3 linked regions of the Canis lupus familiaris genome follow. The main gene of each other region encodes a partner of the protein of the gene in region 3 in a complex. Links are inferred from orthologs where the notes say so. Each region holds a gene or a part of one and is shown on either strand. Other genes may lie near its edges.

Evidence for each region.
Region 1: PRPF38A (region 3) and SF3B3 share a complex: the UniProt entries of both Homo sapiens proteins name them as parts of the spliceosome B complex. The link is inferred for Canis lupus familiaris from reciprocal best matches to the Homo sapiens genes PRPF38A and SF3B3.
Region 2: PRPF38A (region 3) and ZMAT2 share a complex: the UniProt entries of both Homo sapiens proteins name them as parts of the spliceosome B complex. The link is inferred for Canis lupus familiaris from reciprocal best matches to the Homo sapiens genes PRPF38A and ZMAT2.

Annotation. Positions count from the first base shown.
Region 1 is NC_049226.1:77,067,281-77,070,926, reverse strand, and holds part of SF3B3 (splicing factor 3B subunit 3), read right to left. Parts: intron 1,536-3,646; 5' UTR 1,459-1,535; coding exon 1,389-1,458; intron 347-1,388; coding exon 20-346; intron 1-19. UniProt on the Homo sapiens protein: Component of the 17S U2 SnRNP complex of the spliceosome, a large ribonucleoprotein complex that removes introns from transcribed pre-mRNAs.
Region 2 is NC_049223.1:34,979,267-34,983,423, reverse strand, and holds the start of ZMAT2 (zinc finger matrin-type protein 2), read right to left. Parts: upstream 2,914-4,157; 5' UTR 2,868-2,913; coding exon 2,850-2,867; intron 2,515-2,849; coding exon 2,421-2,514; intron 1,358-2,420; coding exon 1,234-1,357; intron 1-1,233. UniProt on the Homo sapiens protein: Involved in pre-mRNA splicing as a component of the spliceosome.
Region 3 is NC_049236.1:9,005,678-9,010,092, reverse strand, and holds the start of PRPF38A (pre-mRNA-splicing factor 38A), read left to right. Parts: upstream 1-1,614; 5' UTR 1,615-1,756; coding exon 1,757-1,886; exon of another isoform or gene 1,887-2,442; intron 2,443-4,197; coding exon 4,198-4,357; intron 4,358-4,415. UniProt on the Homo sapiens protein: Involved in pre-mRNA splicing as a component of the spliceosome.

The sequences.
Region 1 (3,646 bases), on a different chromosome or scaffold from region 3:
AATAGAGCAAGTTACTCACTAATCATAACAGCTCGCCCTTTGGGATCCACAGCTAAGAACTGTCCAGGAACAATGCGGCGGCATCCACTCTTGCCAAAGGTTTCTTGGTGAATTTTCTCAAACATATTCTTAGATGGCTGGTATTCCAGGATAACTATCCGACCTGAGTCACTGCCAACCACAATGTAGTCTTTGGTGCCACCCGTTAGCCTAAAGGCCATGAGTGATCTGATAACACCAAATACTTCCACAGTTAGCAGAGTATGTACTTTGCCAGTGTTGGGGTCAGGGCGAAGCAGCTCCAGTATCTTCCCACGGGAAACAACAATTTCCTGTTGTTTGGTTCCTAGATTACCAAAACAATAAAGATCACGAACAATCAGAACTAGTCAAAAATAACCTGGATGGATCAAAATGCCCCTCAAAATAAATGTAAGTAAGTCGGGGGCTCAGTATTTTAAATTTTCTTATTCTATTTCATTCCCACGATTGATAGGATTTAACAAAAGTGGTATCAAAGAAAAAACTTTTAAAAATGGTCAACATAGTTCTTTAAAAAACATTTAGTTTTTCTAAAATGTCATTAATCCGCATAATTAGGAGATGTATACAAATGGTATTAACATATAATGTTTAGCTTCGTAAAATTAAGTATTTCCAAAGGCTCTTTCTAGCTCATCTTTAAGGCTATTGTTCTAGAAAATCATTTTAACTTTTTGTGCAATTTGATGGATTATTTCAAACAACTTTTAAAGCTGTTATGTAAAATATATAATTTACTTCTAAAGTCAGTCCTAAGAAAGTTCACTTGCCTTCATAACCATTATTGATACTTCTAAATGCTTAATAGCCAATTTTCCCCCATCTCTCCCTGTTTGCTACATAATTCCACTTGGATATGTTGTCATCATCGACTTTTAACTGGTTTAAAATAACTAAATTCCTTCTTCCCAAACTCCCTCTCTAGTCCCAACTAACCTGCTATCAATGTTACTATCATTTTCTCTGCTGCCCAGGCTGGAAATTCATATTCTTCTCGATCTGTCCCCACTTTCCTAGTACAGGTCTTTACTACCTAATGTCTAAATGCCTTCCAAGCCTATCAGATATCCCACTCTTATCCATCCCAATCCATTCTCACTTGCTCAAGGCCACTACTTATCAGGTCACCTTCCCAATGGTCCCCTCAGAATCAAATAAGATCAAGTACTTCAAATGGCTTTGGAGACTGTAAAGCATTATATAAATGATGTTGTCTGATGAATTAAGATACTTTCTCTATAATTTATTTCAGGAAAAAAGTTTGAATTTGGAAATGGAATCTGAAGCATGAAACTATTTAATCTTGAACATGTTTAATTCAGAAAGACAGTAACTAGAAATCTTACCAGAAAAGTTGCCATGAATGGCAAAGCTGATGCCTGTGGCTCGCTGCAAGGTCAAGTTGTATAGAAACATGATGGGAGCAGCACCGAGGTACTCACAACTCCACAATCAGGCCTCAGTTATATTGAGTCAAAATAAGCTAAGAGGACCTAAAAGCAGAAAAATATCAGCCGAGAAACTTACTTTAACAATTATTTTTTTAAGATTTATTTATTTATTCATTCATTCATTCACAAGAGACACAGAGAGAGGCAGACACAGGCAAAGGGAGAAGCAGGCTCCCCACAAGGAGCCCGTTGAGGGACCGGATCCCAGAACTCCAGGATCACAACCCAAGCCAAAGGCAGACACTCAACCACTGAGCAACCCAGGCGTCCAACAGATGTTTCTATATAGGAACTTCAGGGTGAAGGCAGAACCCAGAGTAAGGCTTACTGACTAACAACAGATTTATAACTAGGAAGTATTCTATATACCAGGGACTATGCTGTATACTTTGCCTCTATTCCCTCAAGGAACCTATAAATAACTCATTATTATACTAATTATATAGATGAAAAAATTAAGAAATTAAATCACCTGTCAAATTAATAACAAGCGGTAAAATCTTAGGATTTGTACCAGTATTCATTCTTTATGATTTACTTGACATAGGGCAGCCCCGGTGGCCCGGAGGTTTAGCCCCGCCTTCGGTCTGGGGCGAGATCCTGGAGACCTGGGATCGAGTCCCACATCGGGCTCCTGGCATGGAGCCTGCTTCTCCCTCTGCCTGTGTCTCTGCCTCTCTCTCTCTGTCATGAATAAATAAATAAAATCTTTAAAAAAAAAAAAAAAGATTTACTTGACAGAGAGCGTACACATGCATGCACGCACACACATGCCCATGAACACAGGCAGAGGAAAGAGGGAAAAGCAGGTTCCCCACTGAGCTGATCTTGGGATTGAGCCCAGCACCCTGGATCTCGACCTGAGCAGTAGGCAAACTTAACCAATTGAACGCCCCCAGGCGCTGTACCATTAATAGAACTCTATTTACCTTTACTGTCACAGAAACTAAGGAGCTCTACATGTACCTATGATTGCATAGGCTATACACACATGGTTGAGAATTCTTTAAAAACACAGCAAAAAGCTCCTTCTATCCATTCCCTAGCCATTCAGTTCTCCTCCCCAAGAAAATCAATTTTATTTAGTTATATGTCCTTCCAGATATTTTCACAAAAATATGTTAACACTAATACTTTTTAACTAGTGCTTGAATACTACATATTATAGGCTCCCTCATATTATCCTGCAACTTACTTTTTATTACTTTACTTTGAAGATAGCAACAAAGAGCTTTCTCATTTTCGTTTTCCAGCCATGGAGTACTTCACTGAATTTAGCCAATACCCTACTGATAATCATTTAGGTTCCCAATCTCACTATTATGAATACTGCTGCAAAGAAAATCTCTCAATTGGGGCACCTGGCTGGCTCAGTTGGAGGAGTGTGCAACTCTTGATCTCAGGGTGGTGAGTTTGATCACAGACGAGGTGTAGAGATTAAGAAAGAAAAAAAACTGTCATTTTTTTGGTAAGATTTTATTTATTCATGAGAGACACAGAGAAGCAGAGACATAGGTAGAGGGAAAAGAAGCAGGCTTCTCGCAGGAAGCCCAATGCAAGACTCGATCCCCCAACCCAGGATGACATCCCGAGCCGAAGGCAGATGCCCAACCGCTGAGCCACCCGGGTGTCCCTTTAATTTTAAGTAGGTTCCATGCCCAGCATGGAGCCCAACACAGGGCTTGAACTCATGACCCTGAGATCAAGATCTAAGCTGAGATCAAGAATTGGACACTTAATGACTGAGCCACCCAAGTGCCCCAATAAACTTAAAAAGAAGAGAGAGAAATAAAACCCCTCCTATATAGATCATTTATACATGTATGACTATATATTTATATATATATTTTTTTTTTTTTAGGACCTTATTTACTTATACATGAGAGTCACAGAGAGGTACAGACACAGGCAGAGGGAGAAGCGGGCTCCCTGTGGGGAGCCTGATGCAGGACTTGATCCCAGGACCCCGGGAACACGACCTGAACCAAAGGCAGACCACTGAGCCACCTAGGGTGTCCCTGTATGACTATATCTTTAAGATTAATCCCTAGAAGTGAAATTGCTGGATTGATGGACTCATACATTCGAAATACTGACAAATATTACCAAATTACCTTACAAGGAAATTCTAACAGTCTGTATCCCCAGAAATG
Region 2 (4,157 bases), on a different chromosome or scaffold from region 3:
GGGCAGTTGGTGTGACTGAGTGACGAGCATTATGGGGGACACTTGACGGGATGAGCACTGGGTGTTATACTATATGTTGGCAAATCGAACTCCAATTAAAAAAAAATACAAAAATTAAAATTAAAATAAATAAATAAATAGCCTGTCCATGTCTTACTCTTGGGAAGCCACTTGCTTTATTGTCAACAGCACTAGAGGCCCATGGGGCAAAGAAGTGAGGCCTCCAAAGCACTACATGAAAGAGCTTTCAATCAAATCATTCAGCCCCACTTAAGCCTCATATGAATGCAGACCCAGCAGACACCTTCATTGCAGCTTTGTGAAACCCTAAGCCTTTCCAGATTACTTACCCAAATTGTTAGCTATCTGTTTTATGCTGCTAAATTTTGGTGAGTTAGTTAATTTACACAGGAATAGGTAACTAATACAGAAAAGAATGATGTGAGGTGTTTTTTTTTTTTAAGATTTTATTTATTTATTTATGAGAAACAGGGAGGGGGGGAGAGAGGGGCAGACACAGGCAGAGGGAGAAGGAGGCTCCATGCAGGGAACCCGACATGGGACCTGATCCTAGGACCCCAAGATCATGCCCTGGGCCAAAGGCAGGCGCCAAACCACTGAGCCACCCAGGGATCCCTGATGTAAGTTTTCTAAGCAATTCAGACATGTCACTCATTGCTATCTGTTTTGCTCTCCTGCTAGAAAACGTAAATGAATACTGTAGTAGTGGTGGGCAAAAACAAAAGTCCTTACAGGACACCTCTTCTCATGGGTCATAGTCTTGGTCTAGGAGGAAAGTGTACAACCAAGCAATCCGTAACAACTACAACCTTTGCAGCCAGTCTGGAACCTCAACTCCCTTTATTCACCATCAACAGCTTCTAGGCTCCATTCTAGCTCGAGAAATCTCTCCCCTAGAAATGTTTTCAGGAGTCCTTTCCTTCATTTCTTCCTCTTCAGATATTAAGAAAGAGTTACAGTGCCAATATGAAGAGGTCTACAGAGTAACTCCTCCTAGAGACACTACCATGTTTAGTTGAGGCCTGGAACAGGAGTGACACAAAGAAATATCTAAAGGTAGGACTATTAAAAAAATAAATAAAAATAAAGATAGAATTATAAGTAACATGATTGCTATCCTGGAGCCAGAGAACCTCTCCTCGACACTTGCTAAAATCAACACAGTTTATTAGACCTAGTCTTGGCTCCTGAAAAAGATGAAAAGTCACTCACCCTCCCATCTCAGATTGTGGCGTGGTCTTGGTAATGACAATTGTCTTCCCAAGCTTGGATTCCAGGTCCACTTTATAGTCCCTATGCCGGAGAAGCTCCCGTTTGACTGGCTGTACTGGTTTTCCTAAAATATAAGACAGAAGAAAGTCCTTTTATTATTAGAGTTCCTTAAGCAGAAACGAAAAGAAATGCATGAAACCCAATACACAGATGTCTACTCTTCATTTCTTTCTTAAGCCTGAAGCAGGGGGCACAAAAAGCACTTGTAGCAGCAACTAGGGAGAATCTCAACACAGGAAAAAATGATATGCAATCCCTAAACTCTACATAGCTTTTTTCCACTTCAAAGCCAATAAGTCTAAAAACAAAGTTTTTTATTGTTAACTGAATTGAAGAAAGGAATTAATTTTCACAAAGAGTAAACTTTTAAAAGAAAAGCAAGGACACTCAGTAATACTTTCAGACAGATACCCCAAGTGTAACACACAAAAAAGAATCTCTAGAAGGCTGGGGAAGATTTTCTAAATGGGACCAACATTCAGGCAATATCTGTTACTTGCTACTGTACAAATTAGATCAAAACTAAAAAGATCAGTTTGTGCAAGGTGGTGTGAAAGTAAAGTGAAAGCATAAGAAAAAATAAGGATTCTTTTTGTATAATGGATTCTCTAACTAGGAGAGGAGAATCAACTCCGTAACATTGTACAAAGCAGAGAAACAGTACTACTAACCACCAGCTGAAACAATCACACATTCCTCCCAGTACCCTCACTCTTCTCAGACCACAGGGGAAGGACTTGATTGGACCAGTTATATTCTTCCCCTTAAGTGACTTCAACGGAAAGAGTTTCCTCAATAGGAGTAGTGCATAGCAGCAAAATACTCCACATCTCTGTCACTACTAAGGCTTCTCCTCTCTTCTCTGCACTTGAAGAAAGTACAAAACGAGCTAAGCAAAAAGAAGGCAAGAAAGCACAGGAAACAGAGCTGGGAAATACCTCTGAGTATATTCAGTCCATCTCTTTCCTCCCATTTTATACAGTAAGAAATGGAGAACCAGGGAGGCAACATTCAGCCAGAGGTTACACAAGGTACCAACCAGGACATCGCATTTCAACTCCCCACCCGCTCTCCAGCTATGGCTTCACCTCTACGATACCTCTGCCCTTTAGGGAGTAGGCACCCACCATCCTTCTTTTCTCTCTCTTCCGTGAGCCTCTTCTCGGCGAGCTTCTCATATTCATCTTTGTCCCACTTTCGGCGAAAGTCCAAGTTTTTTGTCTGTAGGGAAAAAAGCGCTCAAGATTCGTCGCTAATCATATCGGAACCCTAGAGAAACGGAGGGAACCGCGTCCACGCCGGCAAGGCGACCCCCCGGACCTGTCGAGAGCGAAGACTCTCCACACCGCACCAGAAGGCTGAGGTGGCCTCAGGACCCCAACCCAAGAGTTCTCCGCGATTCCACAGACCCTGTGCCAGGACCCTACGAGGAGGCTCTTGAACTCGGACCATTGGGCCGCAAGGAGGTGTCGAGAAGCCAGTTGGGTGCAGGATATTCCGCGCTACGAAGGCACCCTCTGCCCCCCGACCAAAGCCTCCTCACACACAACACCTACCCCGCTGCCCGACGCCATCTTCACTGCGAAGTGAATGGGAAGCCGGAAAATGACGTAAAAAGCGGCCCTGAGCCGTAAAGCAAGCTTGCCCTCCAATAAGCTTAGAGTTTCGCGTTCTAAACGAGCTAAGGACTTCTAAAACAGGGTCGTCGGCCCCTCCTCTGACCCACGGAAATGGTGCATGCGCATGGAGAGCATGAAGCAATACGGAAGTAAGGGCGCGTACTAATGTCTTTTGCCTTGGTTTTCTAAACAATCATCTGATTTAATTCAACTGGTCTATTTTATAAACAAGGAAGCAATTTGGATCAGGGCCCTTTGATCTAGTCTTAAGCAACTGTGCATCCGTTTGCCAAGTTTCTAATTTTTAAGGCTGAAGGAATTATTAGGAGCCTCTAGCTGCCCTATTTACCTGTATGCACTAAAGATATGGCCCGCGACACCCAGTGTCTCTAAGTTGCAGCCTTTCCAGCGCATATATAGAAAGCAATTTTTGCACACTCTTTATTTTGAAGCAATGCTATCATCATTCGGTTAAATCATTTTTCTTTCAACTGAGGAACTTTATAATCATTCAATCAATAGGGCACAATTTAATCAACATGATGGGACTTGGAAAGGCCAGTCATCAGCAACGCTGTAGGGTGAACTCTGGCATGCATCTCACTATGTTCATTTAGACGTGACTGTATTTCCAAGTTGATGGGGGGTGGAGTGGGGGCACTGGAAAACTGACTGTTTCCTTCACTGAATCCAGAAGCATCACCCCAGGGAGGTTGCTCCTAGTTCTCAGAATTGTGCAGTGTACACTTGAGGGTTTTCTATGGCCTATGCAAACCAATCTCTTGATAACAAATCACTCAAACTACTACATTTAGTATTTTATTTATTATCCAATCATTTCTAGAACAGCCACCTCCATAGGACAACATGGAACATAGTCGAGCAGTAATTCTGGCACAGGAAATGGTCTCCAAAATCTCAAAAGATTAGACCATCTTGTCAAGTCACCTATTAAATTCAACATTCAAAATTACTAAACAGACAGCCTCACTCTACTAACAGCAGTTGAGCTAGAGATGCCACAACCATGAGCACTCCTATGCCCTTAGGATAGCATCTCTGTCCTCAAAAGGAGAAGGCAGCCATTTGCCCCTTCCTTGCTATCTCCCAATACTCCCTGGACAAGCCAAGGGCAGGTTGTGGACAAATTTCCCAGAATCTGGTTCAGAAGCCACAATGGAAGGCCACGTATCTGACTTCTTATCTCAATGGTCCCAGCCTGGGGCAACCTTCCTAGAGCCTTGC
Region 3 (4,415 bases):
CACCCTAAGCAGCCAGATTCCAATGACTCTAAACCACTCTACCTTACAACACCTGTGTGAAAGCAGGTACTGTTAATACATGCCTGAGAGGCCTTGCTTCAGGTGTGCTTACCACACTTACTAGCCACCAACTGAGAAGCCAAATGGACCTCAATTTCCTTACCCACAAAATGGTATGATAATAGAACCTCCCTTTAATTCAACCAATATTTATTAATCACCCACTGTGTGCCAGGCCCCATTCTAGGATTAAGTGAGAAAATGCAAAATGGCAAATTCACTTCCCCACTCCCTTAATCTCTTGCATTTATTTGTAAGAGACAGTGGATCTCTAAAAAAAAAAAAAAAAAAGAAAGAAAGAAAAAGAACCTGATGTTAGGAAACTCGCGTACAATTCGCACAACATTTTGCATTTACTTTCAGGGAATTCATAAACCTTCTAACATCCACATATTGACCTCTGTTATGTTAAAAAGTATTGCAAAAAGACCTGGTACACCTTGCTCTCACTGTGGAAACCTCGGCGGGCCTTCACAGGTACTCCTAACAGCCGCGACGAGGGTACTATTTTTACAAACAACTAAAATCGAAAACTGACATACCTAATCACTTTAGTTTCGCAGACAGTAGCCCAGGATAAGAACTTCACATCTCATGCCTCGAAGTCTAGTGCTTTTCCAACTGTGAAAACAGAAGGCGCCTCTATTCCGGGCTAGACTAAAGTAGAAGTAAAGTTGGATTTCTTGGACTTCTTTCCTAGAAAGAAGGTGCATTAGAGGCCGGCAATTAGGAGCGGCTCGGGGGGGGGGGGGGGGGGCTACTTGGGCAGGAGCGCAGGCCTCTTACAAAAAGCGACCTAGAGAAGTCTCTGGACTCAACTGCTACATCCGTAAAATGGGGCAGTAACTTCTGTCCCGCCTTCCCTGCGGCGCTTGGTTCGCGGTGGCTCAAAGGAGGGAAAGACGCAAAAGCTCCACAAGGGCAAAGCAGACAGGCGGCCCAGTTAAGACCACTTCTGAGAACCTCAGGCCGCTGAGGACGGGAACGCTCACGCGTCTCTAAGGTTGGCTTCCGGTGCCTCAACTGCACTCTCAGGCCCTGGGGGAGTGGGAAGCCCTTTATAAATCGGGATGTGGAAAAGAATGCTCCTAATGGCCTTGGGACAGGGCCTGGCAGTCAGCAGCGCGCAGTGGATATCCGCTGGATGAATCAATGACGGAGTCCCCAGAGAAGAACTTCTCCAGTCTCCGCGGCTCCGACCCCCGTCCCGCCCGGGACTGCCACTCACCGGGCACCGAAGCCCTCCGCTCCCACCGTCTCCGCTCCGGGAGTTCGTCGGGCCGCAGCGACTCCAGCCTGCGCCAGCTGGACTGCTCTCAAAGCCACGCGCCGCACCGGAGCCCAAGCAGGTTGAAAATGAACCTCGCTAGGCAAGGTGGAGAAAAGAAAATTTCGCGCCAAAAGCCATGGCCCCGCCCCCAGGCTGCCCCACGTTGCGTCACCAGCCAGCCCTCTAGCCCCGCCCACCTACGCGAGGCGCGCGCCGTACGTCCGCCAACGTGCCGCGGCCATCATTGATTCGGTGGGCGACGCTGCTGGCGGAAGGAAGTTCTTTCCTTCGAAGCATTTCCGCTTCCAGATGGTGGTCTGAGTTGCTTAGGCTCCCTCCGCCTTTCTTGGTCTCTCTCCGGTTCGCCTTAACCTGGATGTGACGCATTAAAGGACCCGACGGAAGTAGAACTGAAGGCGTCCTAAGATGGCGAACCGTACGGTGAAGGATGCGCACAGCATCCACGGCACCAATCCTCAGTATCTGGTGGAGAAGATCATTCGGACGCGAATCTACGAGTCCAAGTACTGGAAAGAGGAGTGCTTCGGGCTGACGGGTGAGCGGGCGCGCGCGGACCCTCCTCCACCCTGGTGGCCCCGTTCCGCGGACGGGGCGCGGGGTACCGGCCCCGGCGGGAGACTGGAGCGGAGTCTGTCAGTCACACAGAAAAATCTAGCACCTGCTGTGTGCCTGGATCGATGTTGGTTGGGCTTTGGGGACACGTGTGAGTCTGCTGCGGCCTGATTCTGAGGGTGTCTGTTGGGTTCTCTGCGTCTATTCATATTTAACGATAATCTCCCGAGTTCTCAAACCCTCTTAAACTCGGAGACTCTGAAGTCCTTAAAGGAACCTTAACATACCTGAAGCCCAGTTCCTGGTCTTTCGTTCTCTAAATCTGCACGATAAAAATAAATAAATAAAAAAAATAAATCTGCACGATGTGCAGTTATTTCCACGTTCGGGTCCTAATAGAAACCTTAGTTCTTCCGAGAAGGCTTCCAAGCCTTGCAGTCTTCGAATTCTGGCTCCTGATTTTAGTAGCTCTGCTTTGCCGGTGAACGATGTATGCCTTCTTCTGCTGTAGAACGGGTATCTTGCCCACCTCAACGATTCTAAGGAGTAAAACGCGTCATGTATAAGGAGAATTTGGTATGGTTACTGGTGTGTATTTTAAGAAGCACCCAGCACTACTCTGTGCCATCACTGTCGCTGCCACGACCGCTGTGTGTCCCTGGACGTGTCACATCGTTTTTCTGAGTCACCGTTAAATTTTGGAGTTATGTGAATTTTGGGTGAATTTTGAGGCCTTTTCTCACTGCAGGTTCTCTCCTTGTATGATCTTACCTGTAGATGCCTTCAAATTTCTCTCTTCAGCCCAGATCGCCCTCTGAGATCTCAATCTCTAATTAAACAATCAGGCCAACTCAGTATGTCCAAAAGTGAACGTGTGACCTTTTTCCTCCAATGCTAGATTATGTTCCCTTGTTGTATAATTGTATTGCATCCTGCATCTTATTTTAACTATTTGTCGCATTTCAATTATTTTTCCAATGCTTTCTGCCTTGCCAGACTGTAAACTCTGTAAGAGTAGTAATTTTGTTCTTCTTTATCATTCTACCTATATCTCTAGTATTTAGTACCTGGCTGTAAGTGTCAACTGTAATGTTGAATGAATTAATAAGAATTTATCTTAAAGGAACTTGAAATCTGATTTATAAAATGATTTTCCACTAATGGAATCTCTCATACATTATTTGCTGTGTAACATGTAGATGTTAACATTTATTTGTACTGTCTCATTTAACACTCACTATAGCCCTTAAACTTTTACCTTTACTGTTCAGATTTGAACTGACAGTCAAAAAGAAAAAAAGGTAAAAAGACTTGCCCTAGAGTTCATATAGCTAGTGTTTATTTTTGAAAACAATTGTGGAAGGTTGCTTTTTTTTTTTTTTTTAAGACTATTTGAAAGAGAAAGACCCAGAGAGCACAAGTAGGGAGAGGGGCAGAAAGAGAGGGAGAAGCCGACTCCTGCTCAGCAGGGAGACTGACATGGGACTCAGTCCCAGGACCCTGAGATCATGACCTGAGCTGATGGCAGATGCTTAACTGACTGAGCCACCCAGGCATCCCTTGTAGAAGGTTATTATCCCTATTCTGTGGATGACATTTACTTAAAGTTTTTTTTAAAAATTTTTTTTATTTATTATTTATGATAGTCACAGAGAGAGAGAGGCAGAGACACAGGCAGAGGGAGAAGCAGGCTCCATGCACCGGGAGCCAGACGTGGGATTCGATCCTGGATCTCCAGGATCGTGCCCTGGGCCAAAGGCAGGCGCCAAACCACTGCGCCACCCAGGGATCCCGACATTTACTTAAAGTTATGTAGTTATTGGGTCGTATACTGTTGCTGTTTCTTTTAGCTCCAGATTTGGCTGCTTTTCTCCAGACATAATGGTGATAGACATGGACACTGGAGATAGACTGCTTACATGTAAATCCAGGCCCTGCTACTCTCCGGTGGTGGACATTGAGCAAGTCACTTAACATTTCTTAGCCTTCATTTTCCTTATCTGAAAACAGCCTCTGTGCAGGAATTTCATGGCTTGTTGTGAAGATTAAATGAGATAATATGACATGCTTAGGAGAATACGTGGCATATAGTCATCCTTTCTTGTATATTGGCTGCTGTTATTATTATTACTATTAATACACACACTTCTAATATTAAATTGTTGATTAGTATTGAGGAGCACCAAACCTTGAACTAACTTATCTCCATTTCAGACTGGGAAGAGCTTGGCCCTAAATTATCTGAGATGCCACTTTGTTTTTGTTTTTGCCTTTGTTTTTTTTTTTTTTTTTAGCTGAACTTGTAGTGGATAAAGCCATGGAGTTGAGGTTTGTGGGCGGTGTCTATGGTGGCAACATAAAGCCAACTCCTTTTCTGTGTTTGACCTTGAAGATGCTTCAAATCCAACCTGAGAAGGATATCATTGTGGAGTTTATAAAAAATGAAGATTTCAAGTGAGTGAAATGTTGACTAGCTAATTTAAAAGCTTCAATTTCAGTGGGCCAGAATTTG